Linked DNA regions of Oryzias latipes. The protein of the gene in region 1 interacts with the protein of each later gene in a biochemical or structural test. Links are inferred from orthologs where the notes say so. Each region holds a gene or a part of one and is shown on either strand. Other genes may lie near its edges.

What was found.
Region 2: of the proteins of akt1 (region 1) and gab2, one has a biochemical effect on the other in vitro, tested with the Homo sapiens proteins (2 studies listed by BioGRID). The link is inferred for Oryzias latipes from reciprocal best matches to the Homo sapiens genes AKT1 and GAB2.
Region 3: of the proteins of akt1 (region 1) and rictor, one has a biochemical effect on the other in vitro, tested with the Homo sapiens proteins (7 studies listed by BioGRID, with this or other methods). The link is inferred for Oryzias latipes from reciprocal best matches to the Homo sapiens genes AKT1 and RICTOR.
Region 4: of the proteins of akt1 (region 1) and smarcc1, one has a biochemical effect on the other in vitro, tested with the Homo sapiens proteins (2 studies listed by BioGRID, with this or other methods). The link is inferred for Oryzias latipes from reciprocal best matches to the Homo sapiens genes AKT1 and SMARCC1.

Annotation. Positions count from the first base shown.
Region 1 is NC_019880.2:14,664,875-14,672,034, forward strand, and holds the start of akt1 (RAC-alpha serine/threonine-protein kinase), read left to right. Parts: upstream 1-3,348; 5' UTR 3,349-3,601; intron 3,602-7,160. UniProt on the Homo sapiens protein: AKT1 is one of 3 closely related serine/threonine-protein kinases (AKT1, AKT2 and AKT3) called the AKT kinase, and which regulate many processes including metabolism, proliferation, cell survival, growth and angiogenesis.
Region 2 is NC_019871.2:6,589,146-6,595,622, reverse strand, and holds part of gab2 (GRB2-associated-binding protein 2), read left to right. Parts: intron 1-754; coding exon 755-983; intron 984-3,896; coding exon 3,897-4,486; intron 4,487-5,636; coding exon 5,637-5,725; intron 5,726-5,844; coding exon 5,845-6,127; intron 6,128-6,343; coding exon 6,344-6,434; intron 6,435-6,477. UniProt on the Homo sapiens protein: Adapter protein which acts downstream of several membrane receptors including cytokine, antigen, hormone, cell matrix and growth factor receptors to regulate multiple signaling pathways.
Region 3 is NC_019867.2:18,750,526-18,757,002, forward strand, and holds part of rictor (rapamycin-insensitive companion of mTOR), read right to left. Parts: intron 6,200-6,477; coding exon 6,112-6,199; intron 5,002-6,111; coding exon 4,911-5,001; intron 4,834-4,910; coding exon 4,767-4,833; intron 4,603-4,766; coding exon 4,522-4,602; intron 4,386-4,521; coding exon 4,285-4,385; intron 3,460-4,284; coding exon 3,294-3,459; intron 2,903-3,293; coding exon 2,801-2,902; intron 2,731-2,800; coding exon 2,684-2,730; intron 2,599-2,683; coding exon 2,463-2,598; intron 2,368-2,462; coding exon 2,168-2,367; intron 1,991-2,167; coding exon 1,864-1,990; intron 1,658-1,863; coding exon 1,493-1,657; intron 874-1,492; coding exon 797-873; intron 153-796; coding exon 74-152; intron 1-73. UniProt on the Homo sapiens protein: Component of the mechanistic target of rapamycin complex 2 (mTORC2), which transduces signals from growth factors to pathways involved in proliferation, cytoskeletal organization, lipogenesis and anabolic output.
Region 4 is NC_019874.2:27,736,802-27,743,278, forward strand, and holds part of smarcc1 (SWI/SNF complex subunit SMARCC1), read right to left. Parts: coding exon 6,475-6,477; intron 5,046-6,474; coding exon 4,927-5,045; intron 4,664-4,926; coding exon 4,533-4,663; intron 4,199-4,532; coding exon 4,161-4,198; intron 3,462-4,160; coding exon 3,340-3,461; intron 3,242-3,339; coding exon 3,170-3,241; intron 3,068-3,169; coding exon 2,954-3,067; intron 2,837-2,953; coding exon 2,683-2,836; intron 2,328-2,682; coding exon 2,217-2,327; intron 2,117-2,216; coding exon 2,057-2,116; intron 1,943-2,056; coding exon 1,684-1,942; intron 1,267-1,683; coding exon 1,105-1,266; intron 1-1,104. UniProt on the Homo sapiens protein: Involved in transcriptional activation and repression of select genes by chromatin remodeling (alteration of DNA-nucleosome topology).

The DNA.
Region 1 (7,160 bases):
ATGCCGTGATGGCGAAAAACTTGGTTAACCAAGATGTTGGCGGTTTCAGTAGCGGAGGGGAGCTGAGGAAGAGGGATGAATTGTACGGCTTTGGAGAAACGGTCAATGACTGTGAGGATTACCATATTGCCTTGGGATGGTGGTAGTCCAGTCGCAAAATCCACAGCGATGTGGGGCCAGGGACGACTGGGAGCAGGAAGGGGCAACAAATGTCCAGAAGGTGGAGAGTTGGAGGCCTTGGAGCGAGCACAGGTGGTACAGGCTGCAATGTATTCGTGGACATCTTTCTCCAAGGAGGGCCAAAAAAAAAAGTCTCTTGAGTAGACCAATAGTCCCCTCAATGACAGGCAATCTGGGATGCATGTCCCCAGGTGAGTACTTCTGACCCAAGAGAATCGGGAACAAACAAAGTTCCAGGAGGGTATGGTGCATGATTGGGTCTCTCACCTTGGGCTTGTTGGACCTTGGTTTCTATGTCCCAGGTGGGACTGCCCACAAAACAGGAGGTAGGGATGATGGTAGACTCTGTGGTGGATCCTGTGGTGTTGCATTTTCTGGAGAGCGCATCTGGCTTGACATTGCGGCTTCCAGGACTGTAGGTAATGGTAAAATTAAAACGATCGAAGAACAGGCACCAGTGGGCCTGACGGGAATTCAATCGTTTAGCACTTCGTAGATTAGCAAGATTTTTATGGTCTGTCCAAACTAAACGGTTGTTCTGCCCCCTCCAGCCAGTGACGGCATTCTTCTAGTGCGAGCTTTATAGCCAACAGTTCACGGTTCCCGACATCATAATTTTACTCAGCGGGGTTGAGTTTGCGGGAATAGAAGGCACATGGTTTGAGTTTTCCAGATGAACCCTCAGGTTGAGAGAGTACGGCCCCAACTCCGGAATCAGAGGAGTCGACCTCGACGTTGAATTGTTTCTGGACGTCAGGTTGAATGAGTATAGGGGCGGAGACAAAAAGTTCCTTGAGTTTAGTAAAGGCAGTGTCAGCTGCCGGAGTCCAAACGTATGGTCTATTGACAGAGGTGAGCTCAGTGAGGGGTGCTGCAATGCTGCTGTAATTACGAATAAATCGCCTATAGAAGTTGGCGAAGCCCAGGAACAGTTGTAATTTCTTTCGTGTCTCGGGGATCTCCCAAATGGTATGGGCTTCGATTTTGGCTGGGTCTAGTCGGATGTTACCAGCCTCAATAATATAACCCAAAAAGGGAACGGTGGAGACATGAAACTTACATTTTTCTGATTTAACAAATAATTGATTTTCTCATAACCTTTCCAAATGAGATGGACATGGTGTTTGTGTTGTGTTTGATTGGTAGAGTAGATGAGATTATCATCTAAGTAAACGAATACAAATCTTTTGAGGAAGTCACGGAGAACATTGTTTACAAGCCTTTGGAATACTGCGGGGGTGTTAGTGAGTCCGAAAGGCATGACGAGGTATTCGTAGTGGACCAAAGGTGTATTAAAGCCAGTTTTCCATTTGTCGCCTTCTCGGTTGCGAACCAGATGATAGGCATTATGGAGATCTAACTTGGAAAAAAATACGTGCCTCTTTGACTGAATCGAAAAAGGAATCAATGAGTGGAAGTGAATACTTGTCTTTTACTGTTATTTGGTTTAACTCACGATAGTCAATGCAGGGTCTTAAGAATTTGTCTTCTCCACGAAGAAGAAACCTGCACCGACCGGAGAGGATGTGGGACGGATGTGACCCAAGGAGAGAACTTGCTGGATATAATTCTCCATGGATATTTTTTCAGGACCTGACAGATTGAATAATTTTCCTTTAGGGAGGGGTGCGCCGTTAAGAAGTTCGATAGCGCAGTCATACGGCCTGTGGAGTGGCAAGGCGCTAGCTTTGGTCTTACAAAATACCGATTTAAGATCATGTTAGCAAGAAGGTACTTCAGACAAATCTATGTTTTCTTCAGAATCAGGTTTGGATGTAATGGTGGACGGAATAGCAGAATGAAGGCAATTAGTCATACAAAAGGTACTCCAGTTGGAAATGCGGAGAGTAAACCAGTCAATATGAGGGTTATGAAGTTGGAGCAAGGAGCACCCCAGAATTATAAGGGTCTGAGGAAATTGAGTAAAAAAAAAATCTATGATATTCTCTATGGTTACCGGAGGTGAGAATGAGAATAAGTTTGGAACGATTCGTGATCCGGGAAAGTTGTTGACCACCTAACCCGGCAGCGTTGGAGAGTCGAGTGGCCCGGTGGGTAACGTGAGTTGTTTAAGGAGATGCTGATCGATGAGGCTGTGTTCAGCGCCAGAGTCAATAAGAGCCCTATATTCGTGAATGAAAATTGGGGAGAGATTCTACAGGAACAAAAATAAATTTATTTTCTTTGGAGTTTTCAGAATTATCCCCCCGTGGCCAGTCATCTAACAGGGGGTACTGGAGTTTAAACGGATGGTGCATTGTGATACTAAGTGACCAGAGTTCCCACAATAAAAGCATAACCCCTCTTTTAGAATGATAATAATATTGAAAAAGTGTCAAAAAATGTATACTGTATGTAATAAAAGTAAATACTTATGTGTAGTGCATGAAAATAAGGGGCATAAATAAAATGTACCTTTTTTTATATATTTTACTGGAAAGATCAAGTTTTTTCCACACCAAGCCTTGCATATTTATCATTCTTGACATTTAAAGTCTTTACTGATTTATACGTATTTTAACAAAAAACACATTATTTGTTCCAACCAGCTTTATATTTGTTTAATCGTCCTATCCAACTGCTTTATATTTGCTATAAAAAATAAAAATAAAAAACAAACACACACACACACAAAATTGAGACAAAAACTTATTTATTTGGTGACATTCATGCATTTATTTTTGATTCACTTTTTCCAACGTGTGCTTTTTTCATGTTTATTCTGTGACAAAGACTCTCAGCATCTTCCTCTCAGCCTCCTTCCTCCTCATCCTATTTTCTTTTGACAATCATCCTTCAAATTCTGCACTTTCACTTCTGCCCTGGACCTGTTGTTTTCTCTGAGTGATCATACCAGCAAAGATTACAGCCACAGCAAATTAACAAAAATGAATCACCACTGACTTCCTACAGTAAATCAATCTTGAACAGAATCTCATGTTCCATGAAGTGAATCAAGTCATTCATTGCAGGAAGGACCCCTTCAAACATTAGCGGGACCTCTGGGGGTCCAAACACCCGCTTCACCACCAGATAGAACACAGAGGAGTTCATCAAGTGCATCCAGACCTCGCAGACCCGCTCCATTAAAAAAAAAAAAAATCATTTCTCCCAAACGGGACAGCAGAGATCCAACGGCTCGTCTTGTGGAGCTGATAAAAGACCAGCGCTAGGACCCGGGAGAGCCGGGCCGCCACAGAGGCATTGCAGACAGCGCGTTTGGGAGGTGTAGTGGAAGAAAGGCAAGAGAAACGGAGTAAATGAGAGACTTCTGTGCACATTGTTGAAGGACTTACCAACTCAAAATACCGCCGAAACGGCCCACTGTAATGAGACGGACACGCTGTTGAGTTCCCGCACAGGTAAACGGCCGCGTTTTCCGTCGCGTGGTTAAACTGCAAGAGGCCGACAGCCAGACAGGGTAGGTCCCCATTGTACTTACATGGGATGCGGTTATTCTCACCCAAGCTGCCCTGCTAGGCCCCATATCCTTTTTTTATCCATTGCGAAGTGAAAACCCCCGAAATGAGACACTTTTATGGCTCTTTTTTGTCGCCGTAGAATCGCCGCGTTCCAGTTTAGGGCTTATGAACTCGTTGTGGTTTTGCACCAACCGCAGAAAGACACTTTTTTCAGACGCTAATCATTCATTTTTCGTTTCTTTGTGAAGACTCACGGAAAATATTGACGTAATTGGGCCTTAAAGAAATAAAAGAATAAATAAAAAAAGTTGAGTCCAAACTAAATGCTCAATAATAGACAGAGCAGCTCATTCATTGTTATCTATTAGCACTTTGTTTACTGCTTCTTCTTCTTGAGCTCAGAAATGCTGCCACACATTTCAGCTTCAGCTATTAAAGGTTTGTTTCTATCACTGTCAACAAATCTTTGCTGGGAATTGTCACCCTGCACTCTTGAAAACGTGTCCTTTCAGTCATTTTATGTTTTTTGGCCTCTGGCTTTCGGACACCAGGGAGGTCTCAAGGAGAGGCCTCAACTGTTATTTTCATGTTTTCCTCTCCAGTAATCAGTTCAATGACATAATGCTTGTTTTTATGGTTTCTACTGCCCTCACTGTCATTATTCCACCTACAGCGATGACTGTTACTAAAAGCATCCCATTTAGCCAAAGGTAGTTTATTTTCTTTTCTTTTTTTTCCTCCCCAGCAGTCTTATAGATGTGGAGGTGCTGCACATGGGAACAGGACAGCCTTCATGGAAGTGTGAAATCATGTTTGACTTCCGTCTCTGGAAGTTTCCAGAACATTGTCCCCAGGCGGGCTGTTCTCTTGAGTGTCAAAGTTGTTTTGTTGGTCATGAGATTGCATTGCCTCAGTTTGTGTACACAAGGGGACGCGACATGTGACCCCCGGAGAGGACGCAACAAGCTGGCGTGGTGATGCAGCCAGTGACTGCTGGGCTCTCCCTGTTTTATTTAGAAAATACCAGCAGCCTCCCACCCAATGCCCTCGCAGCTTCATTGACGCAAATGTGCCACCGGTTGCATGCTGGATCAGAGGGTTGTTGCTTGAAACGTTTGGTTTCTGCAAAAGAGACTCCCAGATGGTCCAGGCTGTTGCGCAGGTGAGTCAGGTTGCCTTCAAATTGGCTTCTCCATCGTTTGATGGAAAAAACAAAAAAACAAAAACAATCACATCAGAGAAGAGCTCAAAGTTGAGCTCTGAGCTGCATCTGTACACTTCTGCACAGCCTGTCTGGACAGCCTGAAAGTGAAAACAGTTCTGGGAGTCATAAAGGGTTTGCTGTTCATGTCATCACAGGATTAAGCTTCTTGCTTGTCAAGATTGCTCCTACTGTGGTTTGGTATTTAGTAACAACTACTCCACTTAGCCTTAATATTATTATTATTGGTGATGTTATTTTTTTAAGGAACCTAAAAGAGGAACGCTGTACGGTGTAGTAGATCACACCAATGCCTGTTCCTATTGTGGCATTTAAAGCACACCAAGCATTGCCTCAATGTTTTCTTTTGCCAGGATCAGGGGAGAATGTTTGATCTCGTCTTTCTTGTAATGATTTCAAAAAAGAGTACTGTTCTACCTGTGTAACCACAAACCAGCTGCCAGGTTTTGCTTACTAAAACGGAAACAGAAAAATGAGGAAAACCAGATTTGAATCTATTGATTTGGAGTGAATTTGGTGGTGTCTTGATGACTGCTTGTTTTTTCTTTTTTGCTTCCTGCCTCTAACACATGGGACGGTTGTCTCTGTCCTCCCAGTCACAAGCAAACTATTTGACATCTTTTGCTTCATAGCACTGATTAGTATTGAAAGGGGTCCCCCCCCCCCCCCCCCCTCTCCCTGCAAAGGTTTAGATAGAAAAATGAATGATTGAAAGCGTCTCTGACATCAGGGCAGCCAGGCAGGCGGTGGCCCACCGGACTGCAGATCATGTGACCCGCTGTCAGGGTACTGGGTTCATTCAGTGGCTGCTGGCTGCAGCCCAGCTTTTCCACACAGCAGAGCCGCAGCAGCGACAGGTCGCTCCCGGTTTAAAAACAGCCAGATCTCTGTTGTGGCTCCAGAGTCAGACTTGTGTGCAGTGTCGCCATTTTGGTTTGTGCGACGGCTCCCGGTCTGTATGAAGGTATGAAAGCACGCATGCCGGTGTCACAGAGTCCGCCTTAAGATGCTGACGTGATCCCAACTGCTAGAGTGATTAACTGCGCTCTGTCTGTGTGCTTTTTACAAATCCACGTGCGCAGTGCTTCACACGGTGGCTGTGTGGGACAACACCAGCCACTGTGCAGTAAACACAAGCGGCGGCTTCAAGAGACTTCGAAGGTTTAGTCAATGATGGAAGTGAGAATGAAGCTGCAATAACAGACGCGCTCATCAGATATTAAATGACAGATGTTATCAAGCCCCGGGGCAGTTCTGATATGACTCGTAGGCTGTCGAGTCACATTCACTTCCTGTTGATGTCAAATAAGCTGGATGAGGTTAGCCAGGCAGATCTCTTTCGATGTGAGCAGGAAAAACAAAATTGATTCCCATCAATAGTCAGAAATTGCCTTGTGCAGGACATTACATTTGTGTGTGCAGTCATGGCAATTGAACCTTGTTGATGTCTCTTGCCTGATTCAATGGTGTCTTTATGAAATAAAGAAGGGGTAAAGGACCAAAAGGTCAAGTGTTTTGGAAGGGTTGGCCTTCAGCTCGTTCAAAGTGTGTTCTGTGGGTAACAGATAAGTGTGATGGAACTTAGCCTTTTGTGTCAGCTGACTGCAGTTTCACCATGTCTGTTAACACTCTTAGTTTTCCTTTAAGTGTCCTTCAGTCTGAATGCTGTACTCTGAACACAAAACCACTCTTATTCTCTGAATGGGATGCTTTTCGGTTCCTTATGAGTACTAATGACGACCGACTTTTATAGTAAATGTTTAGTTTTCAATTAGGTCATGTGATTCTTTGAAAGGTGATGGCATTCCAATGTGAATTTTGGTAAATCTGATCAACTGATCGTTGACCTGACTCCAGATTTTGAGGCCAACTTCTCTTGTTACATGGGATGAAATAAATCCATCAATTATTTAGCCGAAAATTATATGTCTTATTGATGCCATCTTGATGACACCATAATTCATAAATTGCCATGCTTACTGAATAATAGTAAATATCAGTTTGTAGAACAGATCTTGAGTTTTTTATTGCTGTTTTTAATGAAACTTTAACTGGTTTAAATGTAAAGACTTGGGTGAGCTTATGGCTCCTTGTTGTGATTTTATCTCACAAGATGATTTGGTATAAGACGGGACTGTGTTTAAAAATCAGTCTTCCTTTAATCTTTAATATCAATTCATCAAATAAATATAGCAAATTTCTTTTAAACTAGTTTCTTTGATAGTTTTTGAGGTTTAACAGCTCTTTTGGTGTAAAAATATACATTTTCAAAGGTATACTTTTGCCCACCCTACTTTTTTTAATACATATTCCAACAAAATTGGTTTTGGAATACA
Region 2 (6,477 bases), on another chromosome or scaffold:
GGGTGTCACGTTTGCTATTGGCCAGCTTTCTTAGTGACAAAATGCTTTCAGGTTATAAACGAATTACATCTGACATGCTATTTGAATAGAATTTATGTGTAGATTAAAGTTAAAACATTGTTTTTCCTACAACCAGAGGAATAAAATGGGACAATGAAAAAAAAAAGTTGGCTTCAGCAGCAATAACAACCCCCCCTCCTCCCCTCCCCTCCCTCCACCCCTCTCAGCTACTGTTGCACACAACACCATGGGTCGATGGATTGGTGGGCCGCCCACTCTGTGCTCCTCCAGCTCAGTGCAGCTCTTCACGTTGGCCTCCTGCCCAGTCCATTTCCAACATTCCCATCTCGGATTTGTCTTTTCTTTGTAGTTTGTGGAAAACAAGGGATGTCACGCACAGACCGACAGGCGAGGAGCATGTTTCTCACGCCGTCTGTCTGCACAAGACAATGGTCAGATCAATAATATCAAAGAAAGGGGATTTAAAGGCTGCATGTTGGATTGTGTGCTGTTCAGCCCAAATACGCAGAGGTTGCCCCCTCCCTAGAGATGGATCGCTCTTTGGTATTGATTAGAGGCCTAACGGAACGCTACAGACTTTCAGATGGAATATCGTGATAGATAAACCAGGAATTCAGAAGTGAGATTATTTTGCATTAAAATTCCAGAAAAAAATCAAATTTAGGTTAGTTGGGATCAAAAATATCTTTTTGGGCTTTAGCTGATTCACTCCTCGCATTTCTTCTTTTCACAGATGGCAGGTTACTCAATATGCCGCGGTCGGTTGGTCCAGACGCCACCGGCTCAATGGCTCCTCTGAGCAGCGAGCGCAAGTCCTCAGCGCCCATCCACTCCAGCCAGCCGGTCCTCTTCACCTTTGACGTGCCTGTGCGCCACTCGCACCACGGCTCCCTGTCCAACAGCGCGCCTCAGGACTACCTCCTCCTCCACCAGTGCATGAGCAGGAAGACGGAGAGTGCACGGTAAAGGTCATGACCCTCAGACATCCTGCATTGGTTTCCTGTTTTCTGTTAATGCAGGTCAACATACAGGTTTACGGCGCTTCCTCAGTCCAGAAGCCTCTAAGGGTTCAAACTACCGTTGGAGAGGAATAACAGGCGGAGAGCTGTCTGTCTGTGGAACAGCCTAGAATAATGCAAAAACAAGAAGCTTTTATTCTAAAAGGATATTTCTACATTTCTGTTTGATTCAAAGTGATGATGAGATGGAGAACATTCAGGAAAGAAGTACATTAACCCTTAGTAGTCCAGGGCCTTTTCTTTTACTTTACAATATCCTCTAAAAATGTATCTTTAAAACAGTTTTTTGTGACGAGCCTTGACATCATTTTCTTTGCACAAACTCAGTTTTTTATACAAATATCTATTTTTTATTATATTGCACAATAACACAAAAAAACCTGAAAGTGTATAATGAAATAAATTCTGATAGATACTGATGGTACATACTTGTATAGTCTATAGATGAGGTGCACTGAACCATAAGGCAAAAGAGTCTGAGAATTGCAGAGTCTTTATGAACCACATTCTCAGTAACTCTGGAACATGTTTGTAACACGCCACACGTTAGCCACATTAGCCTATACATAATAACGCTCAAACTTGTTTTCAACACGTAAAAACAATGGACAGATGCCTCTAAAACAACCGTAACTGTGACTACGCTAACTCCAAACCCTGTTAGTAACAGGCCAACATGCTAGATGTTAGCCGCGTTAGCATATATAAGGCCCTCCGAGGTGTAAGGTGCTGTCGTTTTTTGAAAAAAACATTTAAAGAAAAAAGGTTTTAAGTGGGCCTTATTGTACAAAAAATCCTGTTGTTTTTTCCCTGCAAAAATCAACTGTTTACTTTTACATTATATAACAAAGATCAAACGATAGAGACAAAATAAAAAAGTTTAAATCTAAAAACAAACTCAAAATGATAAAAAATATCTAAAAAAAACAGCTGAAGCTCCACTAAACTATTTTAAGGTTTATGTTTCATATAAGGTTTATGTTTCATAACTCTAGGTATATTTTTTTAAACAAAATGTCAAAGCTAAAGACTTTTTAAACCTTTACGTAAATATCGAATGAAATCAATTCTAATGGGGGTGGGGGGGGTCTGCATCCTTTCTACGTCATTGGAAAACTCACCGTGAATTTAGAGACTGCTTAGGTAAAAAATAGTCACGTTTGATACGATGGAGTAAAAATAGAAAATTAATTTGCAATTTTAAAGCCATAAACCTCTCAGACTGAGACGCTGCTCAGTTCAAGTCAACATTAATACTTTCTCAAAGCCTCCATCGGTGCCCTTTAAGAGAAACACAGCCGAAGCAGCCATTCATCACTCCTGCAGGTTTACGCTCCTCCAGAGCGAATCTGCCCCATCAGCAGAAGCAGCTGCACAGAAAGGAGTCGTAGTGGAACTGAAGAATCAAACCTCTCAGTCGATCTCATCAGCCTTATGCCCATTTCTCCATCTCGCCTCTGCTTCGCTAATTAGACGCACATGTATGATTCATGCTTCAGTGGAAATCCTCAGGTTGATGGTTAGTGATCTAATTTCATCTATATAAAAGCCCCCCCCCCCCCCCCCCCCATCCACTTGTGCATCAACCATAGTAGGAAATGATGTATTGTGCATTGTGTCATCATTGATGACAAAAAAAATTTGCAGTTCAATTTGTGCTTTCTTTTCAGAAATGACCACAAGGGAGGGGGGGGGATTTTTATTTATTTTATTTACTGTTTTCAGCTGTTTAACCCTTGTGCTATCCTAGGCACTTTAACATTGGGAATATGGTCATCTAGACCCATTAGACAGTGCGCTGAACCTTTTTTCTTCAATGATTTGTGATCTTCACTGGTGTCCATGGATTACATGAAATCCTCTACACCTTTATCCACCTTTGTCATGGTAGGGAGAACACGTCAAAGTAAGGGTGGGCTCATCTAAGATAGCACGAGGGTTATTAAGCTGCTCTTGTTGGCCGTCAAGGTCATTTCCACAGGGGGCCTGAGTTAGGCTGAGAAAGTCTGAGCTCCCGTCATCCTCTACACCTAAACCTGTTAGCACGCTGAGGACTTGCTTAAAAAATCAAGTTTCAAAAAACCTTAAAAATATTTGAGATTCTACTATTTTGGATGCATAAGCTGCTCAGGCAGTGGATAGAGACTTTCGATTCTCCTTATTAGTGTAACACTGCCATCTAGTGACTGTAGATGTTATTACATTTATTTTAGGTGACAGGACATAATGACATTGTTTCTAGAAACAGATGTGTGGCAGTTGTTTGCTCACAAGGGTCTTAAAGACCCACTCTGATTAAAAAATAGTGTTTTCAACATGTTTTTGGTCAAATACAGCATACCGTATATCAAGAAAATATGAATACATTTCTTTGTTTCAAATAAATGAAAATAAACACAAGAGTTTATAGACATAAAACAAAACAGTGTGCTTGAAAACGAGTGGATTGAAGAAAAATCTTGTATGATCCCACACCTCATGATGTGGGTATTTCTATTTACAGTTTTGTTCAAAACATTCACATTACATTATGTATAGTAATGTAACTCAAATAGGAGCCGACAAAGAAATGCAGTTTGGAAAAGATTGGAACGAAAAAAATACACTGGACGGGCCAAAAGCTCCCTGCTTCATTCTAGACGACTAGATCCGTGCACGTCTTCATTTTCCTCACTCAAGATGGCACCTGGCTCCAAACTGTGCGGCTATGTCTTAGAAAACGATACAGATTTTTCCATTTTGCATAGAAATGCCATAGTTCTGATAAAAATACCAAAAGATGAATAGGAGTGGAACTTGGAGGCTTTGTGTGGAGTGCCCATGGTAAAAACCCCTCTACTTATGCTTCTGTTGCAGAAGTGCCAGCTTCTCTCAAACCACTCGCAGCAACACGCTGACGGGGAGTGACTCTCCAGTCCAGAAACTTTCCTACGGCTTCTCACACTGTCTGAATGGCACAGGATCTCAGCTGCACGGCTTCTACAGCCTCCCCAAGACAGGGCAGCAACAGCTCAGTGTGCACGACGGCTCCCCCCAGGAGGCCTGCTACGTCCTGCCGCGGGGCTACAGCTCTGAGGCTCCGCTCCACAGCAACTTCAGCGACCCCGATCTGGAGAATGACGAGGTCTACACCTTCAAAACCCCTTGCAACGCCCTCGCCACCATGCACAGCAACGAGCGCTCGCCTGACAACTACGACTTCCCCACAACGCCCGGCTCCTTCTACCAGATCCCGCGGACGTTTGACAAGAACCACAATGCGCTCACACCCCCCAGCTCGGAATCCTCCTGCGCTCCGCCTCCTAGACCCCCTAAACCAAGCCAGGGGTCAGAGGGGCAGAGGGGGAGTCCCCGCTCAGCTGGAAGTCAGAATGGGGAAGTCAAGTCATCGGTCATCCCACGCAGGAACACTCTCCCTGCTGTGGAGAACATAAGGCTGCACAGAGGTACATTTTCTTCTTCTAAATAAAGATTGTGTTTTTAACGTGTTCTTGGGGCATTTTTCTGATGACCATTGAGCTTAAAATAACATTTCTGAGTATTTCTTTATTGAAATCATGAATAAGAAGCAGACCCAAAACTGCAGTTTAAAAAATAATATATGTATAAAATAAGCTGGGCGGGCCATATGCTCTTGGCTCCGCCCCTATTTGATCCATCTACTTGTAGACGACTAGATCCATATACGTCTTGGTTAACCTTGACCGAGCTAGAATCTGACTCCAAGCTGGTCGACTGGACGGCTCCAGTGTTTTTGTTGAACTGGTTATGTGAGGTTGTGGGTGCTATCATGAAAACAGAAAGCTCTCAGCAATGGAGAAGGAAAGGGGGACAGGGTTATTCACGCCAGCGGTCCCGCCGACAACTCTTAAGCAAATTTTCTAAACCTGCTCTGCAGAAACTATGCCTTAGAAAACGACAGATTTTTTTTATCATTGTTTTTGCCTTAAAACAGCATCGTCATAATTAAAAGACTACTTACTGAAATAGCTCAAAAGTTGATCGGAGTGGGTCTCTAAATCATGTCTGGATCGACCACGCCTCTTTCCTTATGGCTCCTCTGCCTCCCCTTGACCCCCCCCCCCCCCCCCCCCCCCCCCCCCCACACCTCCTTTTTTTTCCTGCCACTGGACAGAAACAAAGGCCTCAGTGTAGGAATCATTGCTTCGTTTAGACGCTAATGAAATTCAAGTCATACAGGCCGATCCGAAATGCCTGGTTCCAGACCGATGAGCCGCTTTTAGAACAGTACCGCTGGACACAGCGCTTGAATTCTTAATTTGCCGTGTTTGTTCCTTTGCCAGGTCCAGGCTCAGGCTTCAGAGAAAAGGACTGATTTGTGACCCTCATTAGTGGGGCCTCTGGCTGTTCACAAACCTGCGCCACAATGACTAACTGTGGTCATATGAAGCACATAATTAGATGTCACTTGTTTATTACATGAAGCATTTCAAAATGTCTTTTTTTTTTTAGTCCAACTAACCTTTTTTTTTTTAGGATTATTGCGACACGTGACTTTGGAATTGTTCCATTTGTACTTTATTTTTTTGTATTTATGGTAATAGAAACGATTGAATTTCTCATTTGTCATGAAAGGCTCCTCCTTTGAAACCAACAACCATCATCGTCTTCATTTCAACAACCAGTCGGTAGAGTCCGTCAACGACGGATTCAGCTCCTACTTGGTGAGTTTATACCAACGCAAAGTCATCAACCACAGAGGAGGAAAGCCTTTTATGTCGCATCCTTGTCTTTACTGAGGGTGAGGAGGCGGCGGCCGTCACATGACCTCTGTGTCTTTCAGCAGCTGCGAGCCCAAGCGCCTCTGACTCGCTCCGACAGCGGCAACTCGGATGACAACTACGTTCCCATGAATCCCGGCTCCTCTCCGCTGAGCGCCTCCCAGGCTGACAATCCCAGCGACATCTACATTCCTATGACCCCTGGACCACACTTTGATTTCCCAGGATTCTCTGCCACGTTGCCTGCCCGCAAGGGCAGCAGCGCCTCCCTGTGCCACCGGCCCACTCGTTACAGTGATGTCACGCCTCCGCCTATTAACCGCAACCTGAAGCCCAACAGGAAATGTGAGGTTTTTTCCCCCTGCGTGTTTCATTTGTGTGTTTGATTTCTGTTTTTCCTTTTTGACCTTGGGTTAGGATGATCTGCACAGCATTCTTTTAACTTGTAAAGCTCTTAGGAACCAACTCAAATGATACACAACAACACCCACATGTTGCCTTTGCTTTAAATGGCGTAACTAGATTTTTTTAATGGAAGATCTGTGCTGGTGTTTTCCACAGCGAAGCCGACGCCTTTGGACCTAAAAAGCAATGGGATCATCGACGAGCTGCCATTTAAGAGCCCGGTTACCATGTCCTGGACACGACCCATGTGAGTCCCTGCTTTGATGTTCGCAGACGTCACGCCGACGACA
Region 3 (6,477 bases), on another chromosome or scaffold:
GAAGAATTTTTATTTGGTGCATTTACATTTCTTTTTCTTTTGATTTATTCTTTTTTTTTAATTCTCCCAATACCTTCTGCCATTTATCCAGCTGTTTGCTGACATAACCCCTCTCGTTGAGGTAGGAGAAACCTTTGGGAATGGACAGGAACCTGCAAAATAAAATGTAACTTTCATTTTGGCAATGGACAAGAAAAGGCCAGAACAACAAGTAAAAACTGCCAAAACAGGATTTTCCTCAGAGTGGGTCTTCAAGGAACATAGGATATTATTTCACATTTTTGTTGTTCAAAAGTGATGATCTTCTGTCAGCACAATGTGTCATCAGTCGTTTTCCAAACAACTTTCCATAAAACGTGGGCGTAAGAACACATTAATTCCCTTCAGCAAATTAAGAAAAAAAATCAAAACTTGGTTAAGGTTTTAGATTTCACCAGCAAACATGGTTCACCAAAACCAACGGAAATAACTTTTTATGCAACAATTCCTGAAATAGGCTTAGAATATAATTTCAAGACATCTTGAGCAGTTTACTCGAAGAGTGTAACTCACTTACAACAAAGCTATCCTGCCAGTATGTTGAGGTGAACAAAATCACATGATTTTGATTTTGTTAATGCACACACTATTTCCAGGGTGTTGCTGTCGACAGCAACCCCACCTGTTGTTCTCCCCAAAAAGGAAGTCAGAGGCATAAACTTACTTTTAAAAAGTGTTTTATGGACTGAGGAAGGAAGCTGGAGAAAAGCAATTTTTACATGGAAAAGCACGTGGTAAGTCCACCCAGAAAACCCACCTGAGGAGCAGCAAGAGACCTTTGTCTCCCAGGTGGGACACAGCGGGCTTCAGCTGGATCAAAGCATGAAGGTTGGCCTGTGAAACAGCAGACGGTCAAACAAGTCAGCTTGATCCAAAATCTGTTCTTAACATTATTTCTGTGTTGACTAGCAAATGGGAAAAAAAAAAAACTTTATTTGGCTGAAGGAGAAACTGTTAATTGAAATGACACAAACGCCTTCTGTTTTGTGAATCATCTAAGCCAGTGGTCCCCCAAATTTTGGCACCGGGACGCACAGAAAGAAAAAATAATTTCCATTTTATTGTTTTTTTTCCCGAAAAAAACGTTTTATTTTGAAAAGTGACCGGATTTTCTCTGTTACATCCGTCACACTTAATGCACGTCAAAGTCGCGACACCAAACATCACGTGATACACCCCGCCAAAATTAAACCCAAACAACCAAAATGAGCAAAAAACAAACTTCTTTAGAAAGTTGCTTTGACAAGGGGAAACGGTCCAATGAAGGGACAGAAGAGGACCTTGCACCCGCTAAAAAAGGGAAATGTGCCTTTAACAGGCAGCGGTAAACGTGCCTTGCGTTGCACCTCAACCCCCCCCAACGGTCCGCGGTAAACGTGTCTTGCGTTGTACCGGTCCGCGGTGACAGAAAGGTTGGGGACCACTGATCTAAGCCAAGCACAGTTTCAGTCACCTTGTCCTCACACGCCTCGTCCAGTATGTCCAGAGCCTCTATGGAAACCACCTTGCTGTGGTCGTGAAGCTGCGTGACCAGCAGCTCCATGCCCCAGCTGCTGAAGAACTCCACGCCCGCGCGCAGGAGGACACGCAGGTGCTTGGTGGCATACAGCCTGCACGTCTGCTAGGTCAGACAGAAAGAACATCCATTAATTCTGAACATTCAGAAATATCAGATTATCTTATGCCTCTTAACTCTGAAATTCAAAGAAAGTTTTTTTACACTTTAACATAGAGCTATATCTTTATTCATTAATGATTTCTTTTTACAAAATGATCCCCTAGTATTTCATTGAAAGGCTATGCATACATTCGGGGTTGTCTTACGTCAGTAGCTGCAGTGAGGACCTTAGAGAGGATCACTCTGGCCAGACCGTCTCGGCTGTAGTCCAATGTGGTTACAGCGAGCTTTAGCAGAGCATCCTGGTTCTTTATGGAGCACAAATTCAGCAGGCTGCAAATAACAAAAATGCAGACTAATTAATTATGTTGTTGCCAGCATGCTTTACACATGTAGAAAACAAAACTGCTGGTGCCCCCCTTTTAATGAAAGAAAAATGTTTGTTTAATGCCCCAGACTTTCGTCAGACTCCGTTAGCTTTGGAAAGCTCCTAGAAACCAAATCTCTCACCATTGAAACAGGCCACATTTCTCTAGTAGTTTGACTCCCTGTGGGTGAGGAGAGAGAGTCCCAAGGAAGAGGAAGTAGTGCTGGCTTAGTGTGGTGAGTAAGCCGTTGCTCTGCAAACAGCGGTCGGGCTTCAGTCCCGAACAGGAGGACAGCCATGACACCATGTCTCGTACTAGATCCTCCAGGTAACCCTGACCGTCCTGTGACAGCAGGGAGGAAAATAAGAACGATAAAGAGCTGATGAGGAATCAAATGACGAATGATTTATTTACATGTTTGTGCTACTTGATCTAACCTCATCTGAGTCCAAGAGGAACTCCACAAACTGACAGCCAACCACAGTGAGCTGTCGAGCATTTGGGTGGTCCAATGCTAACCCTGCGTACAATTTACTACTGGGTTTATAAAAATACAGCAGCCTTCGAACAAACCTGCAGCAAAAAAAAAAATTATTTCAGATGTCAGAGTAACATTTAACAGAGTTTTTAAGCATTCAAAAGAACTGTGTCGTCATACTTGTGCATCTGTTCATCTTTGTTGTTCCTAAGGTTAACATTTGGCCACTGAAAGAGAAGAAGAACTTTAGAAAAGGGTGGAAAGCCATTAATCTGTTTTGCATGTGAAATGCCTGACTTTAAGGATGGTGGCTATAAGCAGCCAGTTCCACTCCAGGTTCTGCTTGTGGTTGAGAATCTGACTGTCTCTCAGGTTCAGCATCAGTGCTTCTTCTGCGTCCTGAAAATCAGAAGAAAGCCAAACTTGATTTGACAGCAAGCAAAAGGAAAATCAACGAAGCTTAGTATTTGAAAATGGCTGTGATATTGCTTTCTTTTTGTGCAACATAGATCTGGAAACTGAAAGAAAGCATCAATGAAGTGCGTTCTGTATAACTAAACTAAAAAAATAAAAGGAGACACTGATTTTCTTTCTATTTAAACAGAAAAGACGTAATTTTAAAAATGTAATAACTCTCATTCACTGCAGCATGTATATGGAATTGGATGGATGGATGGATGGATGGATGGATGGATGGATGGTGTCCACACTTTGCTTTTTTAGGAAAAGCACAACTTGTACATGCAAAGCCTGATAATATGCGTGGAAAATACTTCTGAAGGAAGCTTACCTTTATCACATAGATGTCTTTTTGGACTCGTGAGTGGGAATCTCTGCGGTTGTGCGTCAACACGGACTTGCGAATGATGTGATCCAGGTAAAGACTGTACGGCTTCAAACCTTTCTTCTTCCACTCGTGAAAGCGCTTCAGATTGTTCACTGCTGCACTCGCACGACTGGAACACAAACAAAAGAAAAGAAAAGAGATGATCTTATGAATTGATAAAAAAATGTGAAAACTGCAGCACTAGTTTAAATAAACACAGCTCAGACACAAAAACTTGCATTGTTTGCTCATGTTAGAAATGAATGTAAAGTAGAAATGATAGAAACTTTAGGGCGATCTGTAGATTTCCTTTAGAGCTCAACTGTCCTGGTCCATCATCAAATTTTCTCTCCCGTTTTTACGACGGTTAACAGTTTAAACGATTCTATGCATTGCCTGCATCCCTTAACGAAAGCAGTTTGTGATTCGACAGTTAAACACGGCACCACATCAGACGACAACCAAACACCACTTATCTGTCCAGATGAACTGTTCAGTGGGAAGTGTCATAAACCTTTAAGGTTCTGTTATGTCCACCTTAGCTTCTCTTAAAGCCTGACAAAAGTCTCTCTGGATGTGAAATTAATTTTTGTCATTTTTAAGGATATAAAAGCTTTCTTTAGACAACCCTTCCAGACAAGACAATCTAATTTCACTGCACTGACCTTGGATTTAGACATATTTCTAGATTACTTTTCTAAATTATTTGATGGATGAATTTTTAAACAAACTTTACATGTTACAGTACTACTTTAAAAATATTTATATACATTTATTAACACAAACATTTTTAGTAGTCCATTTAATTTGGATGTAACCCATCAGCACTGATTATAAGTAGATCGGGCAACACTTGAATGTTTTGTGTGTAAATATTTTCGGACATAGTTGTGTTTGTAGTGATGACAGTTTTCTCATGAGGAGGAACAGAAGCCTTGGGACAGACTGGACTCACAGTCGTTTCTCTTGGGGGATGTCAAACGAGGCCGCCATGTTGATGAGAGTTGGGAGGCAGTGAAGGTGGTGACTGTGGGAGTGAGGGAGAATGGTGTTTGCCTAAACCACACAGAAGCAGAGACAAGGAAATCAGAGACGCACTGTCAGAAGAAATGACACCAATGCTCTTTAGTAGGACAAATGATTTCAATCCAGCTTTCTAAAATGTTTAAGATTTTGTTTAGTTTTTTATTACCATATGTAGAAGATCTCCAAGGAGGATGGTGGCTCTGATAGAAAGCTGGTCATCACTGCTGGTCACCACTTCCACCAAGCCCTACACCAGCAAAATGTTCCAAAACAGAAGCGTCATCACCGTAAGCACTCACAGCCAAAGTTTAATGCAATACTGCACTGTCATACAACAATTTACAATTTAGCTCGATGCATCCGAAAAAATAAAGACGGAGCTCATAAGTAAATAAAAACAATGTGGCTCACCTCCAACAGCCCGCTGCTGATGAAGGCTGAAAGAACAAACGCCAGGTAGTTGTCCATCAGATCAGGCCTAATAAAAGAAAAAATGAATATCATGTAAGCATTCAAAGTGAAACAGTTGCTATGTTATTGGCTATTATGAGTCACCTTGAGCGGGCCCGATGAAGAAGGACGACTTTAGCTTCAGCAGCAACAAACCCATCAGACAGTCTCCAGGTGTCCTGGAACCTGGCAGGGTCTGTAGAGCAAAAACAACAAAATGATTTGAACTTAGGACGGCGTGGACATGACCTAACCCAGGCTCTAAGAGGGGCTCACACTTTTGGTGTATAAAAACTGTGGAAGTATGGCTTCTTTCACCATCATAAAAACATGTCCACACTGCATCTGGGTGTCCAGGCACTCAAAGTCTGATCTCTAATTTAATAGGTTTCTTTTGTTTTGTTTTACTTAATTTCAACCACATTTTTGCATTTTTACATTCGTGTACATTTTTATACAGGAGCTCCATTAATAGGTCAATTGAAATGTGGGGGGGGGGGGGGGGGGGCACATAATTTTACTGAAAGTTTAGCTTAAAATGAATCACAAAAATCACAAATTAATCTGTTTTATAAGTAACAAGAGGGTCGCAACTTGAAAAATCTTAGAACCCCATGTAGGATTGGTTAGAGGTAGATTAAATCAAGTTATTGGTGACGTAACAAAAGAAAAGGCTTAAAAATCTAGCCAAAAAAACATTTTTTTAAGTATTCCCTAAGGAAAAATGAAATAAGTTAATGCTACTGTGGTCTAAATTTCAGCTGCCTGAAAAAGGTTTTGCAAGTGGAACTATTATGTGCCTACCCATCAATCCAGTATTCCCTGATTTATCACAGGACTTCTAAAATTCTAAAAATATCCCACCATAGGTTAAACCTGCAAAGTAGAATTATATATGTTTTAAGGCTATAAATTCCCTCTCTATTAATGCTATACACTTTCCTTAGACAGAAATAAACACTTTCCCACTTTTGTCTTGTTTAAGCTCTCAAAGATCAAAGCTTCGCAGAAGAATGAGTCAATTTCTATTGAATGAAAACAAAGATCTGACGGCGATCCAAGATTTATGTGGATAGATATACGTATCTGTACAGGAGACACAACATGGAGGAGATTGAATAAAAAGGATAACAGCCAATCAGGATGCAGAACACAGTGCAATGTTAAAACAAATTATGTAAAATTGCACTGAAAAGAAATCTATGAAACAGCGAGACCGTGAAAGGTGAACCGCGACATAGCGAGGGAGCACTGTCATCACATTTTTCAACACATTTGTTGAGGGTACATGAGATGTTGTCCTCACCAACACTTTGGAGAGCTTCAGCAAAATCTTGGGTTGCAATGGGAATGGGGAGCCTGAATATTTCATAAAACACCTCCAACAGGCCTTTCTGTTGGATGAAAAACATCTGCATTAGAAGACATGCAATCCAGACCAAGACATCACAAAACAACAAAGAAAAAGGATTTCCGTACTTTCAACTGTTTATTACAGTGGATTCCAGGAGATATAACTTCTTATAAAAAAGATGAATGATTTCATAGGTAAATGTTATATTTAATATAATCTATAGATATGATGAATCTTTTAATGCACAAATATTTCTCACTTTGAACTTTGGTCCATAAACTTCTAATGATATGAATAAAAGTAAAAATCTATATGAAT
Region 4 (6,477 bases), on another chromosome or scaffold:
ACTTTAAATCAAACTGCTGTAATTCATAAAATGGGACTAAAAGGTTAAAGTAGGAAACGTTTCTGATACAGAGGAAGGAAACCTTTAGAGAAACGGATGAAAGTTTTCACAGCAGAGAGTTAAAGCATGTCACAGAGGCACTTAAGCAAGCCTTAAGGCTCTGATTATTGTCTGAGTGCTTTAGACCGAGTGAGCCATGGAAAACATTTAAGTTTATCGATTAGAGCTGTGACTGAGGTTTGCCCCTCATGAAGGCTTTGGTGGATCCATGTAGTAGCTCATTCATGTTTTAGCATCAAAAGCATGGAAGAAATTAAATGTCTCCAACTTACTTTCTCCAGATTATTTCAGGAATATTGATTCAAGCAAAGAGGTAGGATATATTAAAGTAAGGCATTACTTGAAATAATCTTAAAGACACCAACACGAATAGAAAAGCGTATTTTATCTACTTAAAGATGACAAAACGTGTTGCACCATAATAAACACCATAAAAAAAATCAGCAGTGTGAATCTAAGCAGAATTTTTAAATAAAACCTGTCACCTCTCATGAAATATCAATATCAGAAATTGAAAAGAGCATCGCAAAGCGCCACTATAATCTCATTTTCTCTGTGCAAAGCTGACAGCAGGCCTGTTCCTTGGGAAAAAGGTGAGCAGCTGTAAAACACAGAGCAAAAATTGACAAATGGGTCCAAGCAGTGAGAACGATGACCCAGTTTTCTGTTACCCCTCCACCCACGTCTGCCCCATCTGTCACTGTTGTTTTAATCCACTGGTTGCAGAGGCAGAATAAACACACAGTATTTTTGCTGGCAAAGACTTCATCAGTTCTCCTTCAAATGGGATAGATATGAGATATCACCTTTGTCTGAGAGTCTCATTTTCCCTCACTTCTCTGAACGCCAGCATCTCCACACACAAACCACCTCCTCCAGTCAACATGTCGCCCTCAGGTGGAGCATTTGATATAAAAGTCAGAAGAAAAACCTCCAACCTGACCCACTTTAGGCGCCATCATACCCGTCTGATGTTTAAGAATAAACCTTATATAAAATGCCCTGCATAAGACATCAATGTAAGTCTGCTTTAATGCTGCTCACCAGTCTTTTCTGGCTCCTCGGGAGCAGTTCCAGCGATCCCGCTGCTCTCCAGGCCAAAGGTGGGGTCAACCTTTCCTGTACTCCTCGCCGCCTCCTGCACCTTCTTCACATGAGCTTCCACCAACTCTGCTGGAACCTCTTCACGAACGCGAGAAAACTCCTCTGCAAACGCAGCAAGGACATTTCCATATTAAAAAATAATAATAAAAATAAGCATCTTCACAGCTCGTTCAGGGCCGACGTCCACCATTAACAACACTGGCACGGAAAACAATACTTTGAAACAATTTCATCCTAAAACTAAAACAAGTTCAGTATTTATTTTTTAAATATGCTAATTAAATCTAAAAATCTAATTAATTAAAAACCTTGAGGATTTTTTCCCCTCTAATTTTGCAGTGGAACAGATTAAAAAAAATAAAATCTAGATTTGTATTGCTTTAGCGCTTACGTTTAAAAATGCCACAATTATTGCAGTCTCAATGTCTTAAGTAGCACTGATGCAGTAAAGTTAAACAGAACATGACATGAAATTCTAAATGTCCTTGCGTGTTTCCATAGTTTTTTTTTTTTTTTTACCTAAAGCTGCCTTGGCTGCAGCAGAGGCCACTCTGGGATCAACCACAGAGGCCAGGAACGCCACGGTGCTCATCACAGGGTTTCCAGACTGGCTGAAGGGTATGGGCTGATAAGCCAGCGGACCCAGAGACGCCTCTGTGTTCTCCAGGTAGGGATCTTCGATAGGCAGCCGCAGAAAGTGGAGGATACACTCGTCTTGGGTGCGTGAACCGACATGCTCAGATACTTTGTTCCAGTCGTCTTTGAACATCTCCAGGGCCTGTGATGAGTGAAAAATAAAGTCGCAACACAGAAGAAAAATAAAGACAAGTGCAGACAGACACACAATTGTGATCCACTGACAGAAGCCGATATCTAAACAAATAAGACTTGCCTCCAAGAGAAGAAGAGTCTCCTGCTCAGTCCAGTCTCTGGTGGCGATGCCTGCTTTAGACTGCAGAAAACCAAAGTTCAACATTGCCGTTTGTTTAAGGAATATGCATCTCCAATAGTTTCCATGCAGAACTCATGCAAATGTCAAACAGGACCTTTACCTTAGTGTTTTTCTTGCTGTAGAGGTCAGCACGAAGGCCAAAGTTCTGCAGGTCGATGGGTTTATCTTTGCTTTTATCTGCAAAATTAGGCATCGGCTGCTGAGGAGGAATCTGTTGGGAAAATATTACGACAATTATCAAGAGCTCTAAGGTATTAAAGCACTTTTTAAATAAAAATGTACTTTGGTTTTAAGCTGTTAATTTTTCTTTACTGAAAACAAGTGACTTCTTCATGAATGAAAGCTGATATATATATTTAAAACATTTTGTTGGTGATAATGTCAAACTCTGCCGGCATTTGGTGTTGACAATTCATAAGATATATAGCTTCGGTAATTATTTTCTCGCAGACAATGTTAAGAAGAAAATGTCTCAAGTTTTAAACTCGATTATTAATAAGTCGATATCATACATGTACTTCAAAGTAAAAGTGACTTTGCTCCCACCTAAACAGAGCTGTGCTTACCGTTGGCGGTCTGTGGTTAAGCGGCATGAGGCCGGACGGGGTGTCAGCCAGGACAGTGAAGTGAGGTGTGGGTGGGGGGCCCATGGGGAGCGGGCGGCTTTCAGAGTCCACCTGGTAGTTGACTAAACCCCACTGCTCCAGGAAGGCATGAACCCTAAAAACATCACAGGGAAATTCACAGATTCAATTTCTCTGATCATTTTTGTTCGTTTGTTTTTCAGGATTAAAACATGAGCATCAAAGAAGCAGAAAAGCCCTGAATCCTCTTCACCTCATGATGGCGCAGACATCTCCTGTCAGGTTCCTGCGGCAGGAAGTGGAGGTGAGGTACTCCTGGGGGTTCAGCCGATACGTGTCAATCATGAAGTTCCGGTACGCCAAATATCTGTCAACAAGTCGAGAAGAATCACATTATAGTGCGATTTAGAAAGTGTGATGTAGAAAAATGTATCTGACAGTGAGGCTGAGTCTGTAAATATAATCTCACATTTCTGGAGTTTTGGATTTGTTTTTCCCGTTAAAAAACTCAGGCAGGGCTCTTCGTTCAATCTCGTGGATGCTTAAGGAGAAAAAAAAAAGACTGTTTAATGCAACCGACAAACACACTCATCAGAAATGTTTAACACGTTTATTGGTAGCAGCATTTTTAGAGCGTACCTGTTGTAATCAAACCAAGCTCCGTAGCTCGGAATGATGATGTGATGAGTCTGTTCGGTCACATTATCCTCGTTGGCATCTGTCATTCGGTTCACTTCTCCTTTGTTTTGTTCCTCATCATCCTGCAAGAAAAACCTCAATTATAAGAAACTAAAAGACAAAATACGGCTGGCCTCAAAGGTTCTATTAAATCTGTGATCCAACAGAACAAAGTTTGATTTTGTTCAAACTAATTTCCCACGTGTTTCATAAAAGCTACAAACTCTTAAAAAAATCTTATGAAGCAAATGTTTGTATTTCAAGCACAATAAAATGTAATTTAGAATCAGGAATTTTATGTTTGACCATTAAATCAACATTTGTATTGTTCTTTAAAATGTTCTTTGTTTTTTAACTACCGGTAATAACTTTATATTTTAAAAGGAAAATATTTGAAACAAATTATCCTCAAATACTTCTCATTATGTTTTTCCCCCTTAAAGAAGTTAATATCAAAACCTTTTTCAGGACTTTGGGCTGTCAATAGACAATTATTAAAATTATTACATAAAGTTTCTAAATATCCTTAATGATACAGTAAACTTTGGTAGAAAATTAACAAGAGTGTCAAAGCCAAAGTGGATTTTTGTTTTACATTTATCCTTTATGATATAAAATAAACAGAAGTAATTTAAAAATTCAAAACACTTTACTTTAATGCTTAAATTTATAATTTGGCACTAATGTAGTAGTATGTGTCTAATTTTAAAGTAATAGATTTTTGTGCATTGGCCTTACCTTCACTTATAGTCTGTTTGTATAAAATCTTTGAATTTTCTTACCTTTCCACCAGACATTACAGAGTCATCCTCCATGTCATCTAACAAAACCCAGAAAAACAATGATCAGGTGACGCAGTCAACCCAATTAAAGCAGATTTCAGCTTTGGACTGAAATGTGTTTCTACGCATTTCAATTGGTTAAGACAAACATTCCTAAAAAAATAATAGGAAAGTACGTCTTCGTTGCTTTGAAAAACTTTTTTCTATACTAAAGGTTTCACACGTCTACAAACATTTGAGATGGTTTTACATTTGTCACACTGTAAAGGGTCTGTATGGACAAAGCATGCGGCTGCGTTTGATGTGTAGCTAAAATATAATCTTACATCTAAACATTTAGGCTCCAGCTGCATTTGCGGCTGCAGTACATACCATTCTTAGACATACTGCCCTCCTCCATGCTGGCACCGGCTGAGGACTCGTCCAAGTCCTTTGTCATGTCCTCCTCCATGTCCTCCTCTTCTCCTCTGTGGCCCCGTCGCTTCCAGTGAGAGCCTGGATTCCTGCCACAAGTCAGTTTAAAAGTTAGTTCAGAGAAATGACAGAAATTCTTTGGTATTTTAAATGTTTTCAACATAATATGGCCACATAGATTTTAGTGAATGGAGGTCAAACCTGGTGCTCATTGAACACTTAGTTCTAGCAGAAAAGCTCCCAAAATCTGAGCAGCAGCTGAGTGGACCCTTCATCCAAAGTGGGTTTGTAATGTCTCTTTTTGCTGCAGTTTGATTAGTTTGAAATCTATTTAACCCGTTTTGTTTCTTACCCCTTCTTTCCTCCCTTCTTGCGGGACTCTGCGGGAGTGCTGGGAGGTGAAGGCGAGCGCCTCCTCTTCTTGCCAGCGGAGTTGGCCTTGCGCTCCTTGCGATCGGGTGTACGGGAAGACTGATCAGACAAACCCGTGCAGCGCAGGGAGCGAGGGATGGTGGATGAGAGAAAGAGCCGCAGAATGAGAGGATGGAACGATTGCACACACAAGGAGGGGAAGCGGTGGGAGAACAACAACAGGGAGGGGGTCAGGATGCCTTGGTGGGTGGTGAAGGAGACAACCAGGGTTCCTGTGTAAAGTCCTCTTTCAGACACAAGCTCATCTCTGCTTCACTGAGATTTCATAAGCGTCAAATACTTATGGAGAAATATCTCATCTAAATAGTATTCCCTGCTAATTCGTGTTTCACGCAGTCGCAGATTTTTTCAGTCTCCTCCAGTTCATCACAAAAACTCAGCACAAGACGCTTGTAAGAGAAGAATATTTCACTTTTTTTTTTTTTTAACTGGTTCCTGAATTGCTACCAACCGAAGTTTGTGCCCCTACATGGAGAAATAGCATCAGTTGACTGAGAAGCGGTCGGAGAACATCCTGAAAAGCTGAGAACAATAATCGCGGAGAATAATTATCATCCGGATGAATGAATGGTGGATGAAACCGGCTTCTTCTGGAAGAAGATGCCCTCTGGTTTTAAGGCACAGAGAGACACTCCCTGTAAGCTAACGTACAGTCTGAGAAAAGACAAAAAAAACTTTTTACGTTGAGCAATAATCCAATGTTCTTTAATAAATGGTTTACAAAGCATCTGAATTGGTTTTTGGTGCGTAAGGATCAGTGACGGACATTGTTTGGGGGTGGGGTCCGGATTCGCAGGGAGTCACTGGTCACCAACCCCTGCGTATATGGTGGGGAAATACTGTATCTCATTTCATCTTAACTGAAACAGCAGTCACCTTGCAGAGGAACCCTGAAAAACTCATTAGAAACCAACAGAGTGTGAGGAAAGGTTTGAAGAGATGAGCTACAAGCGCCACACCAGACGTGCACCACAGTGCTCAACACACGCGACAAAGCAGCATGCACCAAAACACAAACGCACTCATGCAGGTTTCCTACTAAATCATTAGAATTTGCCCTGCCCCCTGAATCTCAGGTAGTCTATCGGTTGCCGTGGCAACTTACTGCTTTTAGAGCTTCACTACGAGCTACATCAGGAGAGTCAAGCTGTGTTCACACCAAACGTGATTCGCGCGGCCGAGCCGTCCGCTTTCAATACTTAACTCAGTGTACAGACGCGTTTTGTGCGGCCACACAAAGTGTCACAAAGAGACGGAAACACCGCAGGAAGCGCCCTTCATTCAAACGCAGCTCCAGCAGGAGATGGTGAAGCTACTGTGTATGAACACATTTTGGGGTGGCGGTTGCGCAGCGAATTCGCCGTGTGTCCAAATAGAGGTGGCCAACGCAAATTTGACACGCAAATTGCGTTTGGTGTGCATGTAGCATTAGAAACAAGAAAATGAGCCAAGCAGCAGAAATATCTACCTC